2 linked regions of the Rhinolophus ferrumequinum genome follow. The protein of the gene in region 1 interacts with the protein of each later gene in a pairwise test. Links are inferred from orthologs where the notes say so. Each region holds a gene or a part of one and is shown on either strand. Other genes may lie near its edges.

Evidence for each region.
Region 2: the proteins of CD63 (region 1) and TIMP1 interact in binary tests that used the Homo sapiens proteins (3 or more experiments, as listed by UniProt). The link is inferred for Rhinolophus ferrumequinum from reciprocal best matches to the Homo sapiens genes CD63 and TIMP1.

Annotation. Positions count from the first base shown.
Region 1 is NC_046293.1:55,213,828-55,225,754, forward strand, and holds CD63 (CD63 antigen), read right to left. Parts: upstream 5,656-11,927; 5' UTR 5,398-5,655; intron 5,254-5,397; exon of another isoform or gene 5,144-5,253; intron 5,138-5,143; exon of another isoform or gene 4,996-5,137; intron 4,614-4,995; 5' UTR 4,603-4,613; coding exon 4,537-4,602; intron 3,696-4,536; coding exon 3,519-3,695; intron 3,339-3,518; coding exon 3,264-3,338; intron 3,162-3,263; coding exon 3,066-3,161; intron 2,957-3,065; coding exon 2,816-2,956; intron 2,561-2,815; coding exon 2,477-2,560; intron 2,291-2,476; coding exon 2,225-2,290; 3' UTR 2,130-2,224; downstream 1-2,129. Other genes in the region: RDH5 (retinol dehydrogenase 5), read left to right, coding at 511-674, 962-1,185. UniProt on the Homo sapiens protein: Functions as a cell surface receptor for TIMP1 and plays a role in the activation of cellular signaling cascades. Plays a role in the activation of ITGB1 and integrin signaling, leading to the activation of AKT, FAK/PTK2 and MAP kinases.
Region 2 is NC_046284.1:86,403,097-86,415,137, reverse strand, and holds TIMP1 (metalloproteinase inhibitor 1), read left to right. Parts: upstream 1-6,191; 5' UTR 6,192-6,227; coding exon 6,228-6,363; intron 6,364-7,212; coding exon 7,213-7,341; intron 7,342-8,071; coding exon 8,072-8,151; intron 8,152-8,466; coding exon 8,467-8,593; intron 8,594-8,818; coding exon 8,819-8,943; intron 8,944-9,805; coding exon 9,806-9,976; 3' UTR 9,977-10,079; downstream 10,080-12,041. Other genes in the region: SYN1 (synapsin-1), read right to left, coding at 137-239, 334-408, 507-649, 1,420-1,482. UniProt on the Homo sapiens protein: Metalloproteinase inhibitor that functions by forming one to one complexes with target metalloproteinases, such as collagenases, and irreversibly inactivates them by binding to their catalytic zinc cofactor.

The sequences.
Region 1 (11,927 bases):
TTTATACTTGGATTTCTGCATCTGTGCCGGGGTGGCTAGATGTAGCCCCACTTTCCTCCAGCAAATACCAATCTACACCCTTCATATCCAGCACTCAGGACTCCTTGCGTTTGGGAGCTAGGGAATGGAGTTGGCAAACTGGTTCTCAGGCCAGATGGGCCAGCTGCCGACTAGGTAATAATGGTTTTTACATTTCTTAATTGTTATAGAAGTACCTATATATCACTAATTTTTAGGCCTGCAGTACCAAAAATATTTACTATCTGGCCTTTTAAGAAGTTTGCTGACCTGTTGTAGTTCGTAGAAAAGAATACAAAGGAAAACAAATCTCACAAATACCTCCATTCCTCTCTTCCACTTGCCCCTCATTCCAGGGCAGCAGGGATATCCCTGTCAGGACCCCCGTCCCTGGTCTGTGACAACTTTCCCATTTTAGCCCCCATCCATGTGCCTGAGCGTCCCCTCCCTATGAGGGCAAGAACCCAGGTACTTCCCTCTGCCTCCCTCCAGGCGGGACGTGGCTCCTTTTGGGATACGAGTCTCCATCGTGGAGCCTGGCTTCTTCCAAACCCCTGTGACAAACCTGAAGAGTTTAGAGGACGCCCTGCAGGCCTGCTGGGCACGGCTGCCTCCAGCCACTCAGGCCCACTATGGAGAGGACTTCCTCACCAAGTGTAAGTAGCTGGGCCCACATAGGGAGTGTATGAAGGTAAATGAGCCTGCCAGAAGGGTCAGTCCTGCACCAGCCTGCCGGGAGGAGGTGGGCAGGGAAGTCAGGAAGGGGGTGAGGATGAGTGGGATGCCACCCCGGCCATGAGGAGCCTGCCCACTCCCCAAAATGGGCATGGGACTAAGGATTCCTCTCATCTCCACTGGGCAACAAGCCCCAGGACCCACGAGAGGGCCTGAGATGGGCTGCAGTGGGACAGGGATGTAATTACAACCACCCACTGGGCTGCAGACCTGAAAGTGCAGCAGCGTGTCATGAACCTGATCTGTGACCCGGACCTAACCAAGGTGAGCAGGTGCCTGGAGCATGCCCTGACTGCTCGTCACCCCAGAACCCGCTACAGCCCAGGCTGGGATGCCAAGCTGCTCTGGCTGCCAGCCTCCTACCTGCCAGCCAGCTTGGTGGATGCTGTGCTCACCTGGGTCCTCCCCAAGCCTGCTCAGGCAGTCTATTGAACCCAACCTTCCAGCAAGAGATTGTTCAAGTGCAAGAACTTTATGTGTCCCCACCCTGGTACTGCCTGGTACCTGGCATAAAATAGACAATCAATAAATGTGTACTGTTTAAAAAAAAAAAAAAAACAGGTGGGCAAAGATGAAGGTGCTCAATTTGAGTGCTAACTACGCTAGGCTGCCTTATTGCCCAAGGTCTCTGGCCTGTTTAGTGCCTGCTAAACTAGCACCCACTGCGGGGCACAAGGTGGCCGTCTTGCCTCTCCAGGTGATCTTTGAAACTGCACCTAAAGGAATGGCCACCAGAGGGCATTACTGGACATTTCCTTTATTTTCTACATGGAGTAATGTTGCAATTCATTGTCTGAAGTGGGAATAGCAGTTATATATTTTTCTTGCGGGGTGAGGGAAGGTGGTGAGGAGGGGTCAGGACCAGGCTTAGTGATTTCCATGGGGAAAAAAGGCAATACCCACTTCCATTCTGTTATCTAATCTTAGTCAAGAAGGATGGACACTGGCCACATAGGTGTCAAAGCAACTTATCACCATCCTGAAAGGAGCGAGGCCCCTGGGTGGGGGAGGGAGTTGCTGGGCTCTCAGAGGTGAACAGAAGGCCAGGGAGCAGATGGTACACAGTGGGCTGGCCTCTCCCAAGTAGAACCTTTGTGGGGAATCCTTTTGACTTTTGCAGATGGCTTCATGAATGTTGCAGCACTGAGCCTGGCAGCACAGGAGCAGGAGGCAGGGAGGGCAGAGGGCCACAACCTCTTCCCAATCCCTGCTTCCACTGCCAGCCCAACCAAGACCTTCAGCAAAATCCCCTTTTGCCAACACCCCCTGAAATAGGCCTGCCTGTCCCGGAGGTACAAATAGAACACGGTCCCAGAAGACAGGAACATGAAGGGGAGGGAAGGGATAAAGTATCACTCTTTAAGATAAACTGAGACTGTCTTTTCAGTCTGAAAAAATAATCCGTTTAATTGAAAAATGTGGAATATACGACCCCACTCTCCTAGATGAGGGGCTGAAGAGACCAGACCCCCTACATCACTTCATAGCCACTTTGGATACTTTTCACAAGGCAGCAGGCAAAGACAATTCCCAGGACCTAGAAGGAAAGATAGGGAGGGGGGATGGAGAGAAGTCAGAAGGGCAAGGTACCCCCAACCCACACAAGAGACCTTAAATATACCCGGGGCTCCCCACCCCAGACCGTACCTCCTGCTCAGCACCCTCCTGCCCACTGCCCCTACTTCCCAGATGCCCTGGAATGAGTCCCAAGGGCACCTCTCACCTCCACAAAGGCAATGCCCAGGGCTGCTGCAGCCACCAGCAGAATATTGCGCCTCAGCCAGACCCCAATCTTCTCCACACAGCCCTGAAGGGTAGCAGGCACCAAGGGCAAGAACACAATCAGGAACCTCCCACCCACCTCCCGTGGTCCATCTGTCTCTCCCCCACCCTCTGTTCCTCTCACCCCACCCCTAGCATTCCTATATCCCCTCCCCATCCCTGATCCCCAACTTCCCAGAGCCCCAACCCTCTCCACCTCAGTTCCTGGTTCCTCTCACCTCTTAAAACATTTCCCAATTTTCCCAAGTCCCCTGCTACCTCAGCTCAGCCTCCTCCCTACCTCAGTATGGATCTCTTTCACACTGAAATTAATCCCACAGCCCTGGGTGACATTGACGCAGCAGGAATCAGGGACTCGGCCCTTGGGTTCCAGAGGGATGGTCTCCCAGTCTGTGTAGTTAGCTGCCCCACAGCACTCGAACTGGGAGAGAGGAGAGATTTGGGGGAGGTTGTGAAGTGAACCTCCACCTTCAATATAGAGATAAGAATCTCCTTCTCCCATTACCCCTGCTCCCAGGAGCCCCACTCACATTTTCCTGCATCCTGTCCAGGAACGAAGCCGTGTGGTTCTGTTTTGGGTAGTTCTTCATCCGCTGCCGGAAATCCTTATTAAATTCTGACATCACCTGGGAGTAGGGAGGAACACTGTTGAGGTCAGAATTCAGGGCACCTGGGTGCCAGAGCAGCCAGGCCTCTGACACAGGGCCCTCCCCTTATTCCCTACTTACCTTGTCTCTAAACACATAGCCAGCAATGGCTGCAGCCACCTCCACCAGCACAATAAGAGATAGGAAGATGACAAACTGCAGGAGCGAAGGACAGGAGTCAGGTTTGGAGTCTGGGTAAGGGGGGCCAGCTGTGGCCCAGCCAGTCTCTGGAACACTCACACAGATTTTCCTCACTTCACCCACCCTCGTGAGCCCCCCAGGGAAGTGACATTCCAGAAGTCCCAAGCACCCACACTGGCCCCACACCCTACTCACCGTGATCATGAGACAGTAGTTCTCCTTGCAGGCCCCACAGAAGCCCACAATGGCTACCAGGAAGAGGAAGGCACCCACTGCGATGATGACCACAGGCAACATGACCCCCTGGTTGATGGTCTGACTCAGGATGAGCTGGGCCCCTATGCCCACAGCGATCAGTCCCACTGCACAGGCCTGCAAGAGTGGCGGGCAGGGTTAGCCCCGACCCACAATCCATAACCCTTGGGTGCATCCAGGACACAGACTTAACCCCATCCTGGAAGGACAGATTCTCACCCCTCCAGGAAACTTTGGACTGTGGGGGAGGAAGATGACCCATCCTTACCCAAGAGAAGTTCCCATAACGCCTTGACCCCAGGGCACATGTTCCTAACCAAGAGGACTGTTTCCTGGGGGCCTCATGGGTTCCCAGAACTGCCCTCTCATCATCTTCCATGCCCAACCCATCCCCATCAGCTGTGATTAGGGTTCCTCCAGCCAGCTAGGCCAGGGAAAAGGCGACAAGCGTAGTGTGCCCCTCCCTGGACGAATGGTAGCCTCTCAGGGCAGGAGCAAGAGCAAACTGAGGTGCGCAGAGCCCTTCCCCACCCACAAGCAGCTGGGAGGGGTGAAGAGGGTGATTGAATGAGGAGGAATGAGGAGGTGGAGAGCCAGAAAGGAGGAAGGAGGCTGGGGAGGGCAGAGTAGTCCTGTAGCCTGGAGATAACATCAGCCGTTGGCTGGTTGCCCCACTGCCCCTATCACAAGTGATTGGGTCACCAGACAGGAAGGGCCAGGAGGGGCTGGAGCGAGGATGCTGCGCACTCAGGCTGACCATTCTCATCCAAATCAGCCTCAGAGGTCCCAGAAGTCTGGAGGAGGGGGTGGCCGTGCTGTTTTCAGCTGTTCCCCGGGGTTTCCTTCCACATCTGGTCTCCAGCTGCCTTCATTCTCGGTCCCTCAGCCCTCAGCTCTCGGAAGCCAAGTCTTCCCACACCCTGCCAGCACGCCCCCATCGTCCCCACTCCCCACTCACGCAAAAGGCCAGCAGAAAAACGTAGTGCAAGATCTTGACACATTTCATTCCTCCTTCCACCGCCATGGCTGACGGGCCTGGGGCAGAGGGGAGGGGAGGGGGATTAGAACTCGCCGAGGGGGCCCTCGGTTTCCGGGCTCCCTGCCGGCCCTCGAGGCCTTCCCTACTCGGCCCCCATTCCCGGCCCCGCCCACCCGGATCTACGTCTCCCAGCCCCCTCTTCTCCTCGGCCCGAAAGGGGTGGGGGCGACCGCGGAGCAGCCCGCACCAGCCCGTCGGCCCCGCGGCCCGGGGCAGACCGGAGGGCGCGGACTCTCGGCCGCCAGCCCCAAGAGTTAAGCACCCCTCCCCGCCAGACCACTCCCGAAAACGGTCCTCAGCCCAAGGCCGACCGCCCGTCACTTTCCCCTGCGCTCTGACCACCCCAAAAAAATAGGTGCGGCCGGCACCCCAACCCACTCGGGCCTCTGGAACTTTTCAAAGTTGCGAGGGCCTCGGAGCTGCCCGGAGCGCCGCGCGTCTTCGGAGGCCGGCGCGAGCCTGGAGGAGGGGGCTGCCGGCGATCCGACGACGACCACGACGCAGCGGACCTACCCCTCCGCCTCACCTGGGCTCCTCGAGGCTGTGCGCTCCTCTCCCGCCGCCGGTCAGGGGTTCTCTAGCTGCGCCCCCCCCCGGTTCCGACCCCGCCCGCCGCGCGGCCCCGCCCAGGCCTCCAGCCCCCTCCCCCGCCGAGTGGCCGCCGGCCTCCCTCATGTGATGCGGGAACAGCTGCGGCCTGAGTCACCCGGCCGCGGAGGGGAGGGTCGAACCCCCGCTGGGTTAGGGCCAAGTGGCCCCGACCCGGAAGACAGCACCCACCCCGGCCGAGTAAGAGCAATAGGAGCAGGACCTCTGGGTGCCTGGGTCTCTTCTGGCGCCTCCAATCCTGTGCCAACTAGTATAGAAGAGTGCGACGGAGCGCTGCTGGGTTCTCTCTGGTTCAGGGAAGCGGAGGAGGCGTGTGAGAGCCAAAGCAGGGATGAGTGCCCGGGCCGGGCGGCGGAGCTGAGGCAAGGTGACAAGATGGTCGGCCAGAGACCTCCAAGTCCTCCACCAGAGCCCCCTCCCTTCCTCGGGCTCCATCTCTATTCAAGGCCCTCTCCTTCCCCGACAGCAGAGGGCGCTGTTGGCTCCCTGGGATCGGGTGGGGCCAGAATAAACACTTAGAGAAAGTTCCCAGCCTCATACCCTGGGAGTCCCCAACATTCTACAGCGGTGTTTCTGTCCCCCTCTGTTAAGTCTCTTCTCCATTCTCTAGGGCTTCTGAGTAGCTGGCTGAGAAGGGGAGAAAACCCTTCACCAGGCCATCCCATCCAATCAATTATGATCCAGCAGAGTCAGGTCCCTCCCTCTGTGGGAAGATTGACAAGGTCTGTGCTCCCACCACTCCTTGATCAGCCTGTCGTGGTGGATGGGCACTAAGAGAGACATGGCATATACCCCCTGGATTTCTCCACCCCATCCTAGCAGACAGCCTTCTCATCCCAGAGTGCAAAGCCAGGCGAGGCTGGAAGTGGAGGTGGGAGGCTCAAGCTGCCTCCCTCCCTTGTGTGCGGTGGTGGTCCCCAGAAGTTGCTGTGTGAATAGGCCAAGGACAGTAGCAGCCAGCACATTCTCCCTCCCCCAGCCTGGGCCCCACCCCTTAGGTTCCTACAATCCTGCCTCAAGAATCACTTCCTGAGTCTCAGTGTGTGTACACAAAGAAGGAAAGAAACTGTAGGAGCAAAAGGAAGGAGATCTGGGCTGTGCTGAGCGCCAATTTCCAGGATCACAACCTTCCAGCAAAACACACCACGCCCATTCTGGACCTTGCTTCCCAGTTATAGGAGGCAGGCTGTGGAGGAGGAGCGAAGATGCTGAAGAAAGGAGTATTCAAAGGTTTCTTTATTGTATTGCCTCTAGATACCAGGCATATGGTAGGCACAGGGCAGGGGCAGCAAGGCAGGGAAGTCAGTGGCCCTACCCTCTGACAGCAGGCAGAACCAAGTCCATACTGTGAACAGACAGAAACATCTGGTGGCAGCTGGATGAACCCAGAGGGAGAGACAAGTGGTACCTCAGCCCAGGGATGAAAAAAGAAAAGAAAGAATTTCACAGAAGTGGGTGGTGCTCTCTGAGGTGACTTTAGAGAATAAAGGGGCAAGCTCTCAGTTCCAAGGACAAGGAAAGGGCCAAATGTAAAAAAGGAGTAGTTTTAAAGTCCATGGCAGGATAGGAGTGGGTGGCTCAAAAGGCTCAGGAAGGATGTGGTGGTAAAAGATAGATGGGAGGGAAGGTGGTCTAAAGTCAAGATTAAGAAACTTTAGTGCTCGCTTCGGCAGCACATATACTAAAATTGGAACGATACAGAGAAGATTAGTATGGCCCCTGCGCAAGGATGACACGCAAATTCGTGAAGCGTTCCATGTAATTTAGAAAAAAAAAAGAAAAAGAAAACGAAACTTTAATCAAATATATGGTGATGGAAGGAGAACTGACTCTGGGTGGTGGACACACAATGGGATTTACAGATGATGTAGTACAGAATTGTACACCTGAAATCTATGTAACTTTACTAACAATTGTCACCCCAATAAATTTAAAAAAAAATCCAAATGCAGGTGCTAACCAGACACATTAAATAAATGAAGCAAGCTCTTAAAAAAAAAAAAAGAAAGAAACTTTAGATACATAACAACCAAGTATAATGCTTGGTCTTTGATTCAATCAAACCAACTGAAAGATATTTTGGGAACAACTGGGCAAATTTGAATATGGACTGAGAATTAGACATGAGAAAATATTTTTGTTAGCTATGATGATGGTATAAATATGTAAGAAAATTACTCTATTTTTTAATGATTCATACTAAAATGTTAAAGGGAGAAATACATCTTATTTATTTTGGAGTACTTCACAGAACACTAGATGAAAACACAAGGAAGACAGTTTAGGGGACAGAACTGTTGGGAATGTGGAAGGCTGTGTTAGGAATATTCTAAAGGCAATGAGAGTGTTGGGAAGTTTCAAGAGAGTGAATTATCTCTCTCGAAAGTAGTACTAGGCCTACTTTGAAATGAGTAGGATCCTTTGGTAGTTCATAAGTGTGATGATTGAGTGTTCACGCTTTTGTGTGAGATGTGCCTCCCTCAAACCTTGTTAGGACATGGGCACATTACCCGTCTGACGTGAAAAAAGAAAAAAGAAAAGAAAAAAAAAGAAATGAGTAGGAATGGGTGTCAGGTGGCCTGGAAAGGAAAATAGCTGGGACATCATTGCCAAGGTCCATCAAAGAGCTAGTGAAGGCTGGAACCACTGAAAGTAGAGAACTCTGAGCAGCATTTCAGAGGCAAATCAAAGGACTGACTGGGTGACTGCTTACCTATGGGAGAAGGAGAGGAAGTGGGAAGAGACCCAGATGACACAGAGGGGTACCCTCGCCCCTCCCCACAAAGCAAAGCGAGGCTGCCCCAGCTCCACCATAACTTCACCCAGGGCCAGAAGCAGGGCATGGTGGCCACTGGTGTCCCAAGTGAAGGTGGTGAGGTAGTGCCATCTGAGAGCACACAGGCATCAGCCTGGCCCAATGCAATGCACAGCAGCTTGCAACCAGTGCCCGAGACCTCCTAAAGCCCACAACCATACAGGGAGCCCAGACACCTTCTCCCCTCCACTCACCAGGGCCCCTGGGTCCTCTGCCTGGGTCCCACTGGGAGGAGGCCAACTCAGAGATGAGAAGCAGATGCCCTGGTAGGAGAGACCCAGGGGAACTCAGAACTGCCACCTGCAGAGGCAGGAGCATGGAAAAGAAGTAAGACATGGAGAAGCAGAGGAGGAAAGATAAAGAAAGAAGAGGGTTGAGGAAAGTTGGGAGAGATGTGAGGAGGTAGAGGAGAGAATAAAGGAGGGTGCAATACAGGGAAAAGGTTGGGGGATATGAGAGGGGAAAATAGACATGAGGGAGAGGGGTGGGGAGAAGGAAGAAGAGACGGGGATGGGAGAAAGAAAACGAAGGATGCATCAGCATTGCGGCCATCTCACTGGGGAGGGAGGAAGGGTGGTGGCTGGAACTTAATGTCAAAAAGGTGGGTCTGAATTTGGGGCCTGAAATTTAAATCTAGAGTCCCATTTTGGATATGAGGGAGCATGGGTGCTTGATGGTAGCCCCGAGACGTCAGGGTTAGATCAAAATCTGTGGTTCTATGGGTCCTACTGGTAGAAAGGCTCAGGGACCACCCCAGCATGGGCTCCTCAGACAGTGATAGACCCGATGAGCACCAGGGCTGAGCACAGCCCCCACATTGGTTCTGTGGAGACAGCAGCACTGAGCTACTGGTTGATGGAGTCACTGTAATGGCAGCTCTGATTCCCCCAGCTGTCGGGGGAATGTCACCGCACCATGGTACCCAAGAGAACATCAGCATTGCCAAAGTCACCTTACATCCTTGCTTCAAAGAAAGTCAGACTTGAAAAAATGAAGCCACTCACTCAGGGGCAACCTGCAGGTAAGAACCAGGGTCTTGACACACAAACTTTAGTGCTGGGTGCACCATACCCACCACCAGCAAGAAGCACCCTGACGTCAGAAGCCCTGGTGCGAGACAGGCTCTGCTCCTCATGCATACAAGTGTAAGTGGGGTGACTTTGCTAAACTCTCACTGTCCCTGAGCCTCAGCTGCCTCCCAGGCAGGCAGGCAGGCAGGAGGAAAGCTACTCCCTTCCTCACCTCACAGGACGGTTGTGAAGATAACAGAAGAAATGAAGGGGATCAGTTTTGTTACCTTGAGAATAATCAAGGCTTTCTCATATCTTGTTTTTAAATTTATGGAAGTTAAAGTGACTTTGGTTTGAGAAAAACCTGGATTCCGCCCCACTAAAGGTGGCCAAGAAAAGGGTTGAGAAGGACAATCCAGCCTCCTTTGGCCCCTGCTCCCCACCTCTGCCTGAGCTGAGAGTCCCAGTTCAAGCCCCAAGGCTGAGCTCCCATTCCAGTCCCGCCCCGTCCCGCCCCCCCACTGCCAGGCTCCATCCTCAGTGCTCCGCCTCCCTTCTTGCCCTGTTCCTTTTTCTACTCCTTGTGCCTCCAGCCACTGACTTCTGGCCACTCTTTCTCAACACCCTTGTCTGGCTCCTATCCCAGCCTCCTCCCAGCCAGTGTCACTAATTACCAGTGGGATCAATCCAGATGCCCAGCTAGTGGGAGGGCAGGACGGGCATCTGCAGCCTGTTGCATCCTCGTGTACCACCTGCACCAAGAGCTTGGCTGTTGTGCGGTTCTGGTCCAGGAATGGTTGGTTGATGAGTGCAACGGTCTCCACTGAGAGCCCCAGACCCGCACAACTAAGGTTTCTCCTGAGATGGAGCACAGATGAACACGGGAGAAATGAGAGAGGCAATGCTGGGGCAGGGGAGTTACCTCGGGTTTCTGTTCCTTGGCACTGAGAGGCCAAGAGGCCTAGGCAGGGGCTGAGGAAGAATTCATTCACTTGTTCATTCATTCATTCATTCATCCATCCATCCATTTACTGAAAGCCTAAACATGCCAGATACCGGGACTATATATGGAGATAAGTAAGACATGGCCCTGCCTTTGAAGTGATTACAACCTGTAGGCACAGACAAAAAAATGCAGAGTGGTGAGGGCTATGACACAGAGAAGCCCTGCATGCTGGGAGCCATCCAGCACAGACTGGGGGGAGGGTGTGCAGCAGGGCATTGCCTTGGGGGCATCCACTCAAGCTCTTCTCAGCTCGTTGGGCTCCTCCCTGTGAATGTGATCTTGCAGCTCAGGGAACTAGGGGTGAGGAGATGACGCAGGGTTTGAATGGGTGGGGGGTCACTGGCACCCCCAGGCAGAGCCCAGACCAGGTTGTCCTGCCCTCACATTTCTAACTTCTTGTTCACGTTCCCATTCCCAGACCCCAGCCAGATATTCTGGTTTGTTCACACACCATTGCTACACACACACACACACACACACACACACACACACACACACCCTCATCTGACAACAACCTTGACCTTCACTGCCCTGTGCGCTCTCCTGGAGATTAGATTCCCTCTGAACATTCCTGCCTCCAGTTCCCCTCTGCTATCCACCAGCCCCCTCACGTGGCAGCCTAGGTCATGCTTTGTCACCTGTGGGGTCAGCGCATCTGACAGCATTTTGAAGTCCCTGCAGAAGCGGACCTTGCTCTCACAACCCTCCCTTTCCCGACCAGCAGATGGAATAGTGGTGCCTCCTGCCAACATAGCTGGGCAATGCGGACAGCTTTGACCAGCTGCCCTCAGCACCCAGCAGGGGCCTGGAGAGGGAGTAATAGGTGAGAAAGACAGGTAGAGGTGGGGAGGCCTGGGGAGATGGAGAGTGAAGGTGGGAAAGAGTTGGAGGGCGGGGCCTGCCCTAAGAGGATAAGGGGAAAGTGACGGGGTGGGGAGTGTCTTCTGGAAGATCAGAGGCAAAGAAAGGTGTGACTCCAAACAATTATCAGAGTTCCCCACTCTACACCGTCTCCCCCAAACACAAACTGGCTCTCTCCTCCAAACCTCCAACTTCTCTTAGCGGGCCTTGGGGTTAAAGAGGTTAAACAGGGTGGATCCAGGCAGGACGATTATAGGGTTTAGAAGTTGGTGTGGGAGAGGATGGTAATTACACAGTGAGGTCCTCTCAGGGAGAGGGGGTGTTGGGATTTGTGGGCAGAGAGCTGGGAGGGGTCCATCCACCAACAGACCACGTCCAGCCCAGAATAGCCTCCCCACACACCACGTTCCCAGAGGTTCACGCTGGCAGGGAGAAGCAAGCCTTGTAGGGAAGGCCCCCTCCCCTCAGCCGCTTCTCAGTGACCCAGCCCATCCCTGCCTGCCTTGTCTGAGAATGAGTCCACTGACCCTAAAAATGGGGACTTTAGGAGGAAAAATCGAGAAGAGATAGAAGTAGGGATCCTGAGTTACTCCCCATTGAGCCGAGCTCTGATGAACAAAGCAGTTTGGGTGTAGGGGGTGACCTGTGTGGTAGGGGTGCAAGACAGCAGGAGTCGCTTCTCCTCACAGTGGTTCCCCGTTCTGCGGTCAGCTCTGAGAGTGGCCCAGGTCTCTGGGCTGAACCCTGGTGACTGGCTCGCAGGACCTGCAGTTCCTCTTCCTGAGGATATAACGGACCCCACAAGCCTCCCGCTGAAACCCTCCTGCTTCTCTTCCCGGCAGCTCACGCCCTTCAAACCTCAATGCCTCGCCTAGGCGCCAACCCACATTTGCTGTGAATCAGTCAGGACCTTGAAGGAGGCGGGCCTGAAGGTTGCTTGGGTAACTTAGGGAGAGGAGCACCTCGGCAAGAAGTTGCCAGGGAGACCAGGACAGTGGGCGGGGCCCCA
Region 2 (12,041 bases), on another chromosome or scaffold:
CGTGTCCCAGCTCACAAGGTACTTTACAGTTTATTACACATTTTGCCATTTGCTGAGGACCTTCTGGGCCATGGAGTCCTCTGCCGTGCACCTGCTCCTCCCTTTATTCCTCTTACCAATCTCTGGATGCTCCCACCTCAATGATGTGATCCCTTCCGTCCTTGCCATGCAGTGCTTCCACGGCGCAGATGTCCAGTCCCCCAAAAATCTCTGAGCACGTATCCACCCATAGCTTGTACCTGCCAAGACATAGGGCAAGGAGCCTGTCAGTGCCTTCCTGGGCAGCCACACTCCCACCTCACGTCCCCTCCCCGCCGAGTTCGGGCCAGCCACCTGTCAGACATGGCAATCTGCTCGAGCATTGCAGAACCAGTGTTGGTCTTCCAGTTTCCTGACACTGATGTCCTCCTGGCGGGCAAAAGGAGAGAGGGCAGAGACTCAAGGGGACCTGGGCCACCCAGGGCAGGGCAGGGGACCCCTGCTCGGGCCTCGGTCTCTCCACTCACATATAGGCCTTGTAGTTCTGCCCAATCTTCTGGATGCGCACATCATATTTGGCATCAATGAAGGGCTCGGCAGTGGCATATGTCTTGGTCAGTGCCACGACACTTGCGATATCCTGGAAGTCATGCTGGTTGTCCACCTTGACCTGTGGGAGTGGGGTGGGGATCAGAGCCTGGGCAGGGTGGCACAGCAGTGGGCACTGGGGCTGCCTCAAGCAGGGGCAGGCACACGAATGACACAGGTGAGCTGAGTACATAAAAATTTGGTGGACACACCAAGGCATTCACACATGCATAAAATTCTGGGCCTCCTGGTTTTTACATGTACACACAGACACAAAGGTGTGTGTATACAACTCTGTGAATATAATAAACACTACTGAATTGTCTACCTTATGTGAGTATGTTTTATGGTATGTGAAGTATATCTTAATAAAGCTGTGTGAAAATTGTATATACGGTATATGCATACAGACACAAAATCAGTTGCACACACAACATACAAACAGAGAAGCATGGACACACTCCAACATAAAAATTACAAGTCTGCTTTCTATGTACACAGAGACAAAATCAGATGTATAGAAAGCATGCAGTACCACAAGACCCTTGAATGTAAAAGATCACCTAGTGTGTGTTCAACACAGGCATGCATATACACAGATAGAATGCTATATACACTAACAAAATAACAGGACACATAAACTTGGCTGAGAGCATGATACAAAATTGGGCCAACAAAATCTAAGAATGTGAGGGAAAGGATACAAATAGATAAAAACACCACAGGACACACAATCACATAAAATTACCCATGTGCATTGAATATACAATATACATCTACATACATGAGCACAATGCCAGGAGTGTACACCATGTACGAACACACATGGACACCCCCCACTTGGGGACTCACCTTGCCCATCCCGGAGTGTGCATGCCCCATCTTCACAACCACGGGGTATGTTGTGCTGCTGAGCTGGTAGGATGGAAAGGCAGAGCATGGTCAGGGCAGGAGGGCTGATGGCCAGGGCTGGGGTGGTGCTGAGGGGAGCCCATCCAGCGGGAGCCACATTAGGAGCCATTTCCCAGAAGAGGCAGGTCAGAGACAGGCATACAGCAGCTGGGGGTCCACAGCGCCTCCTAACTCAAAATCAAACCCAGAGCCCTGTCTGTCTGGCTCCCCCTCCACCACCCCCAAGTTCCAGACTTTCTGCCTCTGCTTGGATAAGGGTGGGAGCCTTTTCCGGAAAAGGGAAAGTTTGTTTATACAGTGACTGGATGATAGAAAAGTGAGTGTGCATGCCTGGGGCTGTGGTCGTGAGCATGTAGCAACTGGACCCTTCAGCCAGGCCTTGCATGTTAGCCTTGTCCACATGCATACACAACCTAGAGACACACACACAAATCCCTAGAACTCAGATCTACACGATCAAACCCAGAGATGCCCACGCAGGTTGAGACCCATGAGATGGAGAGACCTGCAACCAACACAGGCTCCAGAGCCCACGTTGCTCTCCAGCTGCACCGGCACCCAGTCATTCAGCCCAGCGCTCCAGGCCAGCCTCCTTGCCCAGCAGCACACACTCAACTGTTTTGGGCGCAGACACATACACAGCCCTCCTCCCATCACCCAAATCCACACAACAGTTAGAGGGACACACACAACATGAAGGATTACCCATGCAATACAGAGACAACCCTCAAGGCACAGCCACAGAACGCAAAGGCACACACAACTCGGACAGGCACACACAACAGAAGTGGACACGTAGTCAACACTCACAGACACACACGCAACACTCCTAGGCAAACTCACAACAAACAGAAGGACCCACTCCACATACAGAGGTACACACACTTCTAGGTATTCACAGAACCACTGAGACCCATAACACGGACACCCACACCACACTCCTGGGCACACAGAGTATCTAGGGACATGCACACAACATGCCTTGTCATATGTACAAACGGAGAGGCATACACACAGCTAGAGACACCCACATCCCTCCTAAGCATACACACAACACTTGGGTGTGTGCATGCGCGCACACACACACACACTCATTTGCTCACACATTCAGGTACAGGGATATGTCAAGTCTCCCTGATCCTGGGCGGGAGAGAGGGAGCTGAGTTGGGCGACCCCAGCCCCACACAGTACAGGATGCACATGGGGCTGGCCGTGCCCGCCCTCTGCTGTGCAGACTGCTGCCCCACAGCGTAGAGATGGTATTCCCTATTCCCGGAGGGGTGGCGAGGGCGGTGGCGGTTCCCGACAGGCACAGGAAGCCCGCAGGCTCAGGGTGACCGATTGACCTTCAGGCCTTGCCCGCCCTCCTTCCCGCATTCCCACCTTCCTCATTTCCCAAATGACTGTCGTCATTATGGGGCGCTGAGAGGAACCGTGTGGGGACGGGCTCGCGAGGATCGTCTGGGTAGTGTTGCAGGGAAACACTGCAGAAGCAGCGTGTGATGTGTGACGTAACATTCAGGCAACACTCAGCTCACAGAGGGGAGCAACACATCCACAAGGATATGTGCAACCTAGACCCGCTTTACAGAGGCACACACAACTCCTAGAAGCAACACAAACACACAGGGCTACACACACCCAGGTCCACACATACACCACACATACCACCACCTAAAGGCAAACATTCGACTCTCAAAGGCAGAGACACAGCAGAGAGCTGTGCACAAATGCACACACACAAGCCCAAATTTTCTAGGCTCCTCTTTTCCTAAACCCTCCTTATTTCCTCTGGACCTGAGCCTGAACACAACACTGTGGATGTGTATCTGTGTGTGTCCACTCGTGTGTCTGTGTGTGCCCGTACGTGTGTATGTGTGCCTGTGTGCCCGCACGTGTGTCTGTGTGCCTGTGTGTGCCCGCATGTGTGTCTCTGTGTGCCCACACGTGTGTATGTGAGTCTGTGTGTGCCCACACGTGTCTGTGTGTGCCTGCACGTGTGTATGTGTGTGTGTGTGCCCGCAGGTGTGTCTGTGTGTGCCCACACATGTGTGTGTGCAGGGAGCCCTGCACTCTGGGATCCCCTAGAGAGCCCTAGCTTTGAATCTTGGTCTCTCTTCCTCCTAAGGCCATGGGGGATCCTAGGCAGGTCACTTAATCCTCTCTGGGCCTCAGTTTCCTGATCTGTACAAAGGGTACAATCAGGCACAAGCACTTAGTGTGCTATGGGGATTGTCAGGTGTCTGCTCTGCCTACCTAGGTGGGCCCCATGGCCCCCACGGCCCCCACGCAGCTCCCCAGATGGTCACACACATGGACACCCCTCCATGAAACCCTACCAGTTTCAAAACCTGCACAATAAACCAGATCCACACAACCCCTCACATGTAGACAGTCGGCGAAACTCTGTGCTGACTCATGTTTCAGAATCACAAAGCTGGCGTCAGAACCAGCTTTGGGTCAGTGAAGTGCTGCAGCAGGACTTTCCCTTCTTTCACTTCTTCCTTTGGTCCCGACACTGACTTACTCAGCCCCCTGTCTCATTCACTCTCACTCCGCCACTTTCACAATCAGCTTCTCCAAATTCCTGGTTTACTTCCTCCCCTACTTCAGAGTAATTTCTTCACTCTCATTCCTGGGCAGGTCACTCAATCCTTTGTCTCAGTTTCCTCATCTGTATAATGAGAATATGAACAGTCTCTAACTCACAGGGATGTTGTGAGGAACCAATGAGTTGTGAAAAATGCTCAGCACAATACCTGGCACACAGGAAATCTGCATCCTCTAAAAGTGCTGGGACTATTATTATAATAGTGCTGGGTACTATTATTGGTAAGCCAACACTAATTAACCAGGAGGCAATCAGGATTGACTGAGAGATAAAATACTAAGATTATAGAACGGTGCTTGATAACCAGTAAGCACTCCTCAAGAGCTGGTGGTAGTTTTTATTGTGGTGGTATTGTTGTTGACTGAGTTAATCCAGCTTAATTAGCCAGGGGGTATTGCAGATTGAATGAGAGAATTTACACAAAGACTTCAGGGCACAGTACACAGTAAGTGCTCAATAAGTGATGCTAACAACTACCATTATTGTTATTATTGGTCTGTCCTCCTTGAACTAACGAAGGATGTCAATCTGCCCTCAGAGCCCTTTCCCAGGACCCCAGGGAAGATTCAGGCAGCATCTGGAAGCTGTTGGGCAGGGATTGCCTCACCCCACCATCTACGTCTACCGGGGCGTTGGCGGGGGGTTGGTGGGGCAGGGGCAGGGCAGGACGGGAGGGTATCAGTTTTCTCCTGACTCACTGGCCTCTTTCACCACCATTCAACTCCCCCCACTCCAATGCTCATTAATTCACTGGCACCTTCCCGCTTGCCAAGCCTGCGTTAAGATCCTGGCTCCAGTTGGCCTAGGTTCAAATCCCAGCCATTCCCTGTGATCCTGGGAAAGTTCTTCAATCCCTCTATGCCTCTTATTTCCTCATCTGTAAAATGGGAATAATGTTGGTACCCATCTCAGAGGCTTATTGTGAGCTTTAAAAAAACCGAATTATAGTTGACATACAATATTATATTAGTTTCAGGTGTGCAATATAGTGATTCGATATTTCATACATTATGAAGTGATCACCGTGATAAATCTAGTTAGCATCTGTCACCATACAAAGTTATAACAATATTATTGACTGTAATCTCTGTGCTGTACATTGCAGTCCCCTGACTTATTTATTTCATAGCTGAAAATTTGTACCTCTTAATCCCCTTCACCTATTTTGTCCACCCCCCATCCCTCCTTTTTTTTGACAACCACCAGTTTGTTCTCTATCTATGAGTCTGTTTCTCTTTGGTTTGGTTGGTTGTGTTTTTAAGATTCCACATATAAGTAAAATCATGCGGCATTTGTCTTTTTCTATCTGATTTATTTCACTTAGCATAATACCCTCTACTAGATCCACCTATGTTGTCACAAACATTGTGAGCTTTAAGTGAGATAAATGATGTTGAGTGCCTGGTACACAGTTGGTGCTATGTAAATGCTGACTATTTGCCTGTGTTTTTTGAGAGGTCATTAAGACCCAGGCTCTGGCTCCAGGCCACCTGAGTTCAAATCCCAGTTCTGTCCCTTATTAACTGTGACCTTGGATAAGTCACTTCATCTGTCCATGCCTCAGTCACTCCAGATTGTATTCTTCCTCCATTCACCTGCTTTATCTCCCTCCACTGCTTCTACTCAGCCTCCTCTCTGCCTCCCCAACCCTGCACCAGGATGTCGGGTGTATCAGAGAGGAATTTTTGCTTTTTCTTCTTTTTTTTTAAGGAGGGCACAGCTCACGGCGGCCCATGTAGGGATCGAACAGGCAACCTTAGTGTCATCAGCATCACGCTCTGACCAACTGAGCTAACCCACCACCCCTCCAGAGAGGAATTTTTGTGTGTGTTTGGCATACAGTAGGTGCACTAGAAATGTTCACCGACGAATGAACTAATTCAGGCTTCAGCCATGGGGAGTTTGGGGGTTTGTGGGTGATTGGATAGACTTTGGAGAAAGTTTGGAAGCTTTAGGGAATTGCACGGGGGGAATCCTGCCTCTAAGCCCTCCATTGAGGCCGCCTATGGGGCCGATTTGGAGATGGGGGAGGGGGATGACCAGGGCGAGGCGCAGGGGGAGGGAGAGGAGGGTGAAGCCCGTTTTCGGCAGCCCTCGGCCCGCCCCTTGGCCTCCACTGATGGTGGGCGGATGAGTAATGCGTCCAGGAAGCTTGGAGGCCTGTGGTTTCCGCACTACTGCCACCCCCGCCCCTCGAGTGGACATTTATCCTCCGCTGCTCTGGCCCTGCCGCCATCACTGCAGACCCAGCGCCCAGAGAAGCTACACCGAAGGTAGGCAGGGGCCTGCCTCTGTGGCAGCAGGGCCTAAAGCAGAGCTCGAGCTTTCCTGCCTCGGCTGCCGGACACCTGGCTGCTCAGCCTGGCTGGGTGGGGGTGGAGGGGGGTACCAGGACCCTGGGCTGGTCAAGGGAAAGGGGGGGAGGGTGCTGGAACTGCTCCCCCAATCCCGGCACTCCAAACTCCTCCGAACCCCTGACATCCATCCCAACTCTCCCAAACTCACGAAACCCTAATACAACAGAAGCCTCCTAAGCGGCCAACTGCCCTGAACTCCCTCATTGCCCCCCAAGCCTCCAGACTCCTAAATCCCCAACTCCCTAAACCTGGAGACTCATCTGCTCCCAAATCCCTCTGGCACCCCCACCCTCTTAAACCCCCCAAGTCCCGCAACTCCCTAAACCCCCTCAGCCTCCCCAACTCCCCCACCTCCTCTCTCTCTCAATATGCACAACTCTGAAAGTCCCAACCTCCCCCAAATTCCTCCAGCTCAAAAACCCCAAATTCCTCACCCCAACTCCTCTCAACTTTCCGACTTCCCCGACCCCCCTAAATCCCCTAACACCACAGCCCCATAATCTCCCCCACTCACCCAGTCCCTTAAATCACTCAAATTTCACAACTCTGAAACTCCTGACCCCCTAAACTGTGGGCTCTCAAATCCCCACCCCCACTTAAAATCCCCAAACTCCCCAACCCCTTAATCCCAAGTACAGTCACCTCATCCCCCTCCAGGCTGCTTGGTGGTGGTGGTGGGGGGGACAGGATGGGGTGGGAGGCCTGCCAAGTCTGAGGATCAGCTGGGCTGGGGGCCTCCCTGACCCCTCCTCCCTACCTCTGCAGAGCCCACTATGGCCCCCTTTGCGCCCCTGGTCTCCGGCATCCTGTTGTTGCTGTGGCTGGCAGCCCCCAGCAGGGCATGTACCTGTGCCCCACCCCACCCGCAGATGGCCTTCTGTAGCTCCGACCTTGGTGAGTTACCCTACTCTGCCCACACGCTCTGTGCTTTGTTTTCCGCCTCAGTCCATTGGGGTTCACGACAGGGCTCACCTCTAGAACAGTTCCAAACTCAGCCCTACCCTGACTCTGCTTTTGCCACACTGGCAACCTCATGGTTCCCTGATTACTCCAGGTCCAGTCCCAGCTCACGGCCTTTGCACTGGCTGCTCCCTCTGCCTGGTACCCCCTTGGCCCCAGGTATCCATATGGGTGGCTGCCTCAAAAGTCACCTTCTCAAAATTTTAATCCCTGTTTCCTAATACTCCTGATCCCCTTTACCCAACTCTGAAGTCTCCCGTCATACTTAATACCTTCTAACATTCCATAGACTGATCTATTTTGCTTGTGTTTAGTCTGCCTCCTTCTGGCTAGAATGTGAGCTTCACGAGGGAAGGGATTTCTGTGTTTTGTTCACTGTTGTGTCCCTAACACCCAGAACAGTGCCTAGCACACAGCAGGCACTCTAGAATATTTGTTGAGTGAATGAACACGTGATGAATATATGAAAAAGGCTTAAAGCAGTGCCTGGCAGAGTAGGCACTCAGTATATAGGTAAAGCAATGAACAGAACTATTAGTGTGTTGTTTGGCATCCAGTGATTGATATCTATGTATGTGCTTTGTTAGCATGACTGTTGTGATTGTTTTAGTTTTATTGGCTCACGTAGTTCATTTGACTCATTTTACCCCCTCTTCTCCGGCAGTCATCAGGGCCAAGTTCGTGGGGACCGCAGAAGTCAACCAGACCACCTTATACCAGCGTTACGAGATCAAAATGACCAAGGTACCCTTACTGCACTTTCCTCAGCAGTTCCTAACATCTTTCTCCCTGTCAAAGAGAGAGAGAGAGAGAGAGAGAGAGAGAGAGAGAGAGAGAGAGAGAGAGAGAGAGAGAGAGAGAGAGAGAGAGAGAGAGAGAGAGAGAGAGAGAGAGAGAGAGAGAGAGAGAGAGAGAGAGAGAGAGAGAGAGAAAGAAAAGCCTTTGGCTGTTGGTTGGTGAGCAGGAAGTTAGCTGTGATCTCAGGATGCTGGTATATGAAGAAGATAGAGTGGGAGGATTATGTCAGTAAAAGAGACTCTTCCCCTCATCCATCGACAGATGTTCAAGGGGTTCAGTGCCTTGGGGGATGCCCATGACATCCGGTTCGTCTACACCCCGGCCATGGAGAGCGTCTGTGGATACTTCCACCGGTCTGAGAACCGCAGCGAGGAGTTTCTCATCGCTGGTGAGGCCCCGCCCCCTCGCCCTGGGCCACGCCCACCCGTTCCTCAGACGCTGCTGGGTATCCTGGGCCCGGCGAGGCTCTGAGGGAACGGTCCCAGTTGAAATGGGGACCGCCCCCAGCCGGGTCGGTGCTGCAGGGACGCCAATTAGGCGCCGCCCTGACCCCGGCCTAGCCAATCAGAAGCTGCCTGTTGCCTCAAACCACCCCCCCCCCACCACCCCGCAGGACAACTGTGGAAAGGGCACCTGCACATCACCACCTGCAGTTTCGTGGCTCCCTGGAACAGTCTGAGTTCTGCTCAGCGCCGGGGCTTCACCAAGATCTATGCCGCTGGCTGTGAGGAATGCACAGTGAGTGCCTGGGCCCTGCCCACTACCTGGAGAGTGCTCCTTGGACTCTTCCCCAAACCGTGGCTTGTTTCTTGCTCCCTCTAGCCATTCCTTGTCCCTTTGGCTGCTCCCCAAATCCTTGGGCTGTCCCTGATCTCTCCTGCTGTTCCCCCAGGCCTGAGACCGTTCGCCTAACATTCTGGTTGTACCTTTGCTTGGCTTCTGATACCTGAGGATTCGCTGTTCCCTGGACTTTCTGGCTGCTTCCTGTCCCTCTAACTCTCCTTTGCTACTCTTCTATAGTCCTGATGTCTGTTCCTGACTCCCTGAGATTGTTTCTTAGTTCCTAGAATGTTCTCCAAGAACCCAAAGTGCTGTTCCCCAACCCAATGACTCTTCCCCAGCACATCTGATTCTTGCTTTCCAGCTGTGACCGTTCCACACCCAAGGGCGAGTTACATTGTCCTTCTGACTATCCTGGACTGTTCCCTGATGGCCCTGAATGTCTGCTGACCCCAGTGACTGTCTGAGGTCCACGGCTCCTTCCTATGCTTAAGTTCCCCACCCGCTAGCTGTTCTCTGCTGCTGCGAGTTGTTCCCTATCCCATGGGACAGTTCCTCAGGAGATTCACCTGACTGACCCCTATGTCTGTGCCCAACCACCAGGAAATGGATCCTTTTGCTAGATTACTGTCATATCACCGAACCCAATGACTGCTCCCCCAATGGGAGGGGCTGTTCTTGAGTCTGTACCCAGGTGGAGTGATACCAGGTCTCTCCAGCAGCTCAATGTTGAAAGCTGAGGAGGGGAAGTTCTGTTCTGTCAGGGAGGGCGGGGCAGGAGGACAAGCCCTCAGAGATGCGCGTCTCTTCCCTCTTCCAGGTGTTTCCCTGCTCATCAATTCCCTGCAAACTTCAGAGTGACACTCACTGCTTGTGGACAGACCAGATCCTCACAGGCTCTGACAAGGGCTTCCAGAGCCGTCACCTTGCCTGCCTGCCACGGGAGCCAGGGATGTGCAACTGGCAGTCTCTGCGGCCCCGGATCGCCTGAATTCTGCCCCCAGCAGAAGCCAAAACCTGCACAGTACTCACCCCCTTTCCACCTCCTGTCTTTCTTTCTTTTAGACAATGAAATAAAGACCTACCACTCAGCAGGCAGTGTCCCTGTGCAGTGTCTGGGAACAAACTTATGTCAATGATGACCTGGTGGAAGTACCCTGGGACCAATGCTGAGGGGATGAGGGGTGTAAAATGTTGGCTTTTTATATTTTACATAAAATTTGAGGTATCGGTAATAATTCTATACATTGGCATTAGCATTAGTGATCTGCAATGTCAGCAATTTAACCTGTGTTATCAACCACAGCTTACTGGATAATCTCTCTACTCAATACTTTAAAACATTTTACTGATTAATTTATAATTCTTATTTGCACAAGTTCTAGTTCATAAATTACCCACTGCTGCCAAATCACTACCTCACTGACAAATTCCCCTGTTCACAAATCCCTCTGGTCCACAGGCTCATTGACAAATGCCCCATCAATGGACTAACAGTTCTCCTTGTTTCGGGTACCGTCCTGATGCCATCCAGTGAGGGCGTTCTGCCCCGTCCAAATCTGTGGCTGTTGCCATCTCCACCCTTAGGTCTTATACTGTGAGTCTGACTTGAGTGAAAGGGAAAAAGCCCCAGGGGTCTGAGACAACCCCCCAACCACATAACCCAGCCAAGGACTCTGGAAGAAGGGGTGGCCCTGCCACACCCCCCAACCATGGCCTGCAGGAGACTCCTTGGAAGTGGTTGTTTGGGGAATAGGAAAGATGGGGAGAAGGTATGATCTGGAAATCCCCAATCTCTGCCCTTCTCCCCCTTCTCCTACCTCTCCTTCCCTCACTTCTCTGACCAACTTTGACAGCAGTGAAGTGCAGATAAGGGTTCAAAATCAGACCCAACCAGGTACGTTAGCCCAGCCACCCCCCCACACCTCCCCTTATACAGCTGTCCCCTCACCAAAACGGGGGCCTCTAGGTCGGAGCCTCACCTTTCTGGCTCATCTTCCCCCATGAAACCTTCGCTAGAGACCCTCCCACCCAACATTCCCTCCCTTAGGCCTTCTTGCTCCCACAGCTTGTCCCAGGCCCCTCCAGTCCCTGGCTCTTGCCTTTTACACTCTGAAGGTCCTCACTCAGCTGAGGGCCCTGGGAACCAGAAATTCAGATTGGTGCAAACATTCCGTGGAACCCTCCAGTGACCTGTTGCCCTGAATCTGCTTGAAAAAAGGCTGCAAAATATCTTCTTTGGTGGAGAAAAGGACGCCTCAATTCCCTCCCATCAGACTACCCACTGCTCCTGCCAATAAGAACCCAGGTCTCCTCCAGAGTGGCCCCTGGATCCTCTGTGGTCTGGTCCTTTTGCACTCCTAGATGTTCCCCCAGGGCTCAAGGTATGTCCTAGGTCAGGATGGGTGCATTTTGAACACCCAGTGCTCATCTGCTGGTGCAGAGCACCTCACTCCAGCAATTTTTACATCAACATCTATTCCTTGGTTATGCCCTGGGGGGATACAAGTCTGGGAACAAAGTTATGTCAATGATGACCTGGTGGGAGTACCCTGGGACCAATGCTGAGGGGATGAGGGGTGTAAAATGTTGGCTTTTACACTCCGCCAAAAGGGCTAAATGGCAGCCTTCACTGATAGGTGTAACTGTAAGGGAAGGGCCCGGGCCCTGCTTGGGCCCTGGTGGCCATGTCACTATTGCCTCAGTTGCCTGCAAGAGTTTGGCGGCTCCTGACAGTTCACCGAATCCTAGTACTAACAGCTGCCTGCACGCACTCTTAGGCGGTTCCCTGACCCCAGTGGCAGTTCCCTGAGCCCTCAGCTGGTTTAACCCTGGGGAGGAAGGAGACGTAGAAAGTGGCAATGAAAGGATGGAGCCCAGTGTGGAGGCCATTCTCCTGCCAACCTGCCTACTTACAGGTGGTGCCCCAGATCAATACATCAATGCTTCATGGACAGGGCTATCCGACTGCAGCTTTTTCCATAGTGTCCAGAGCAGCGTACAAGGCCGCCTGCCCCACACCCTGGCAGGAGTTCCTGGCAGGAGTTCCTGGCAGG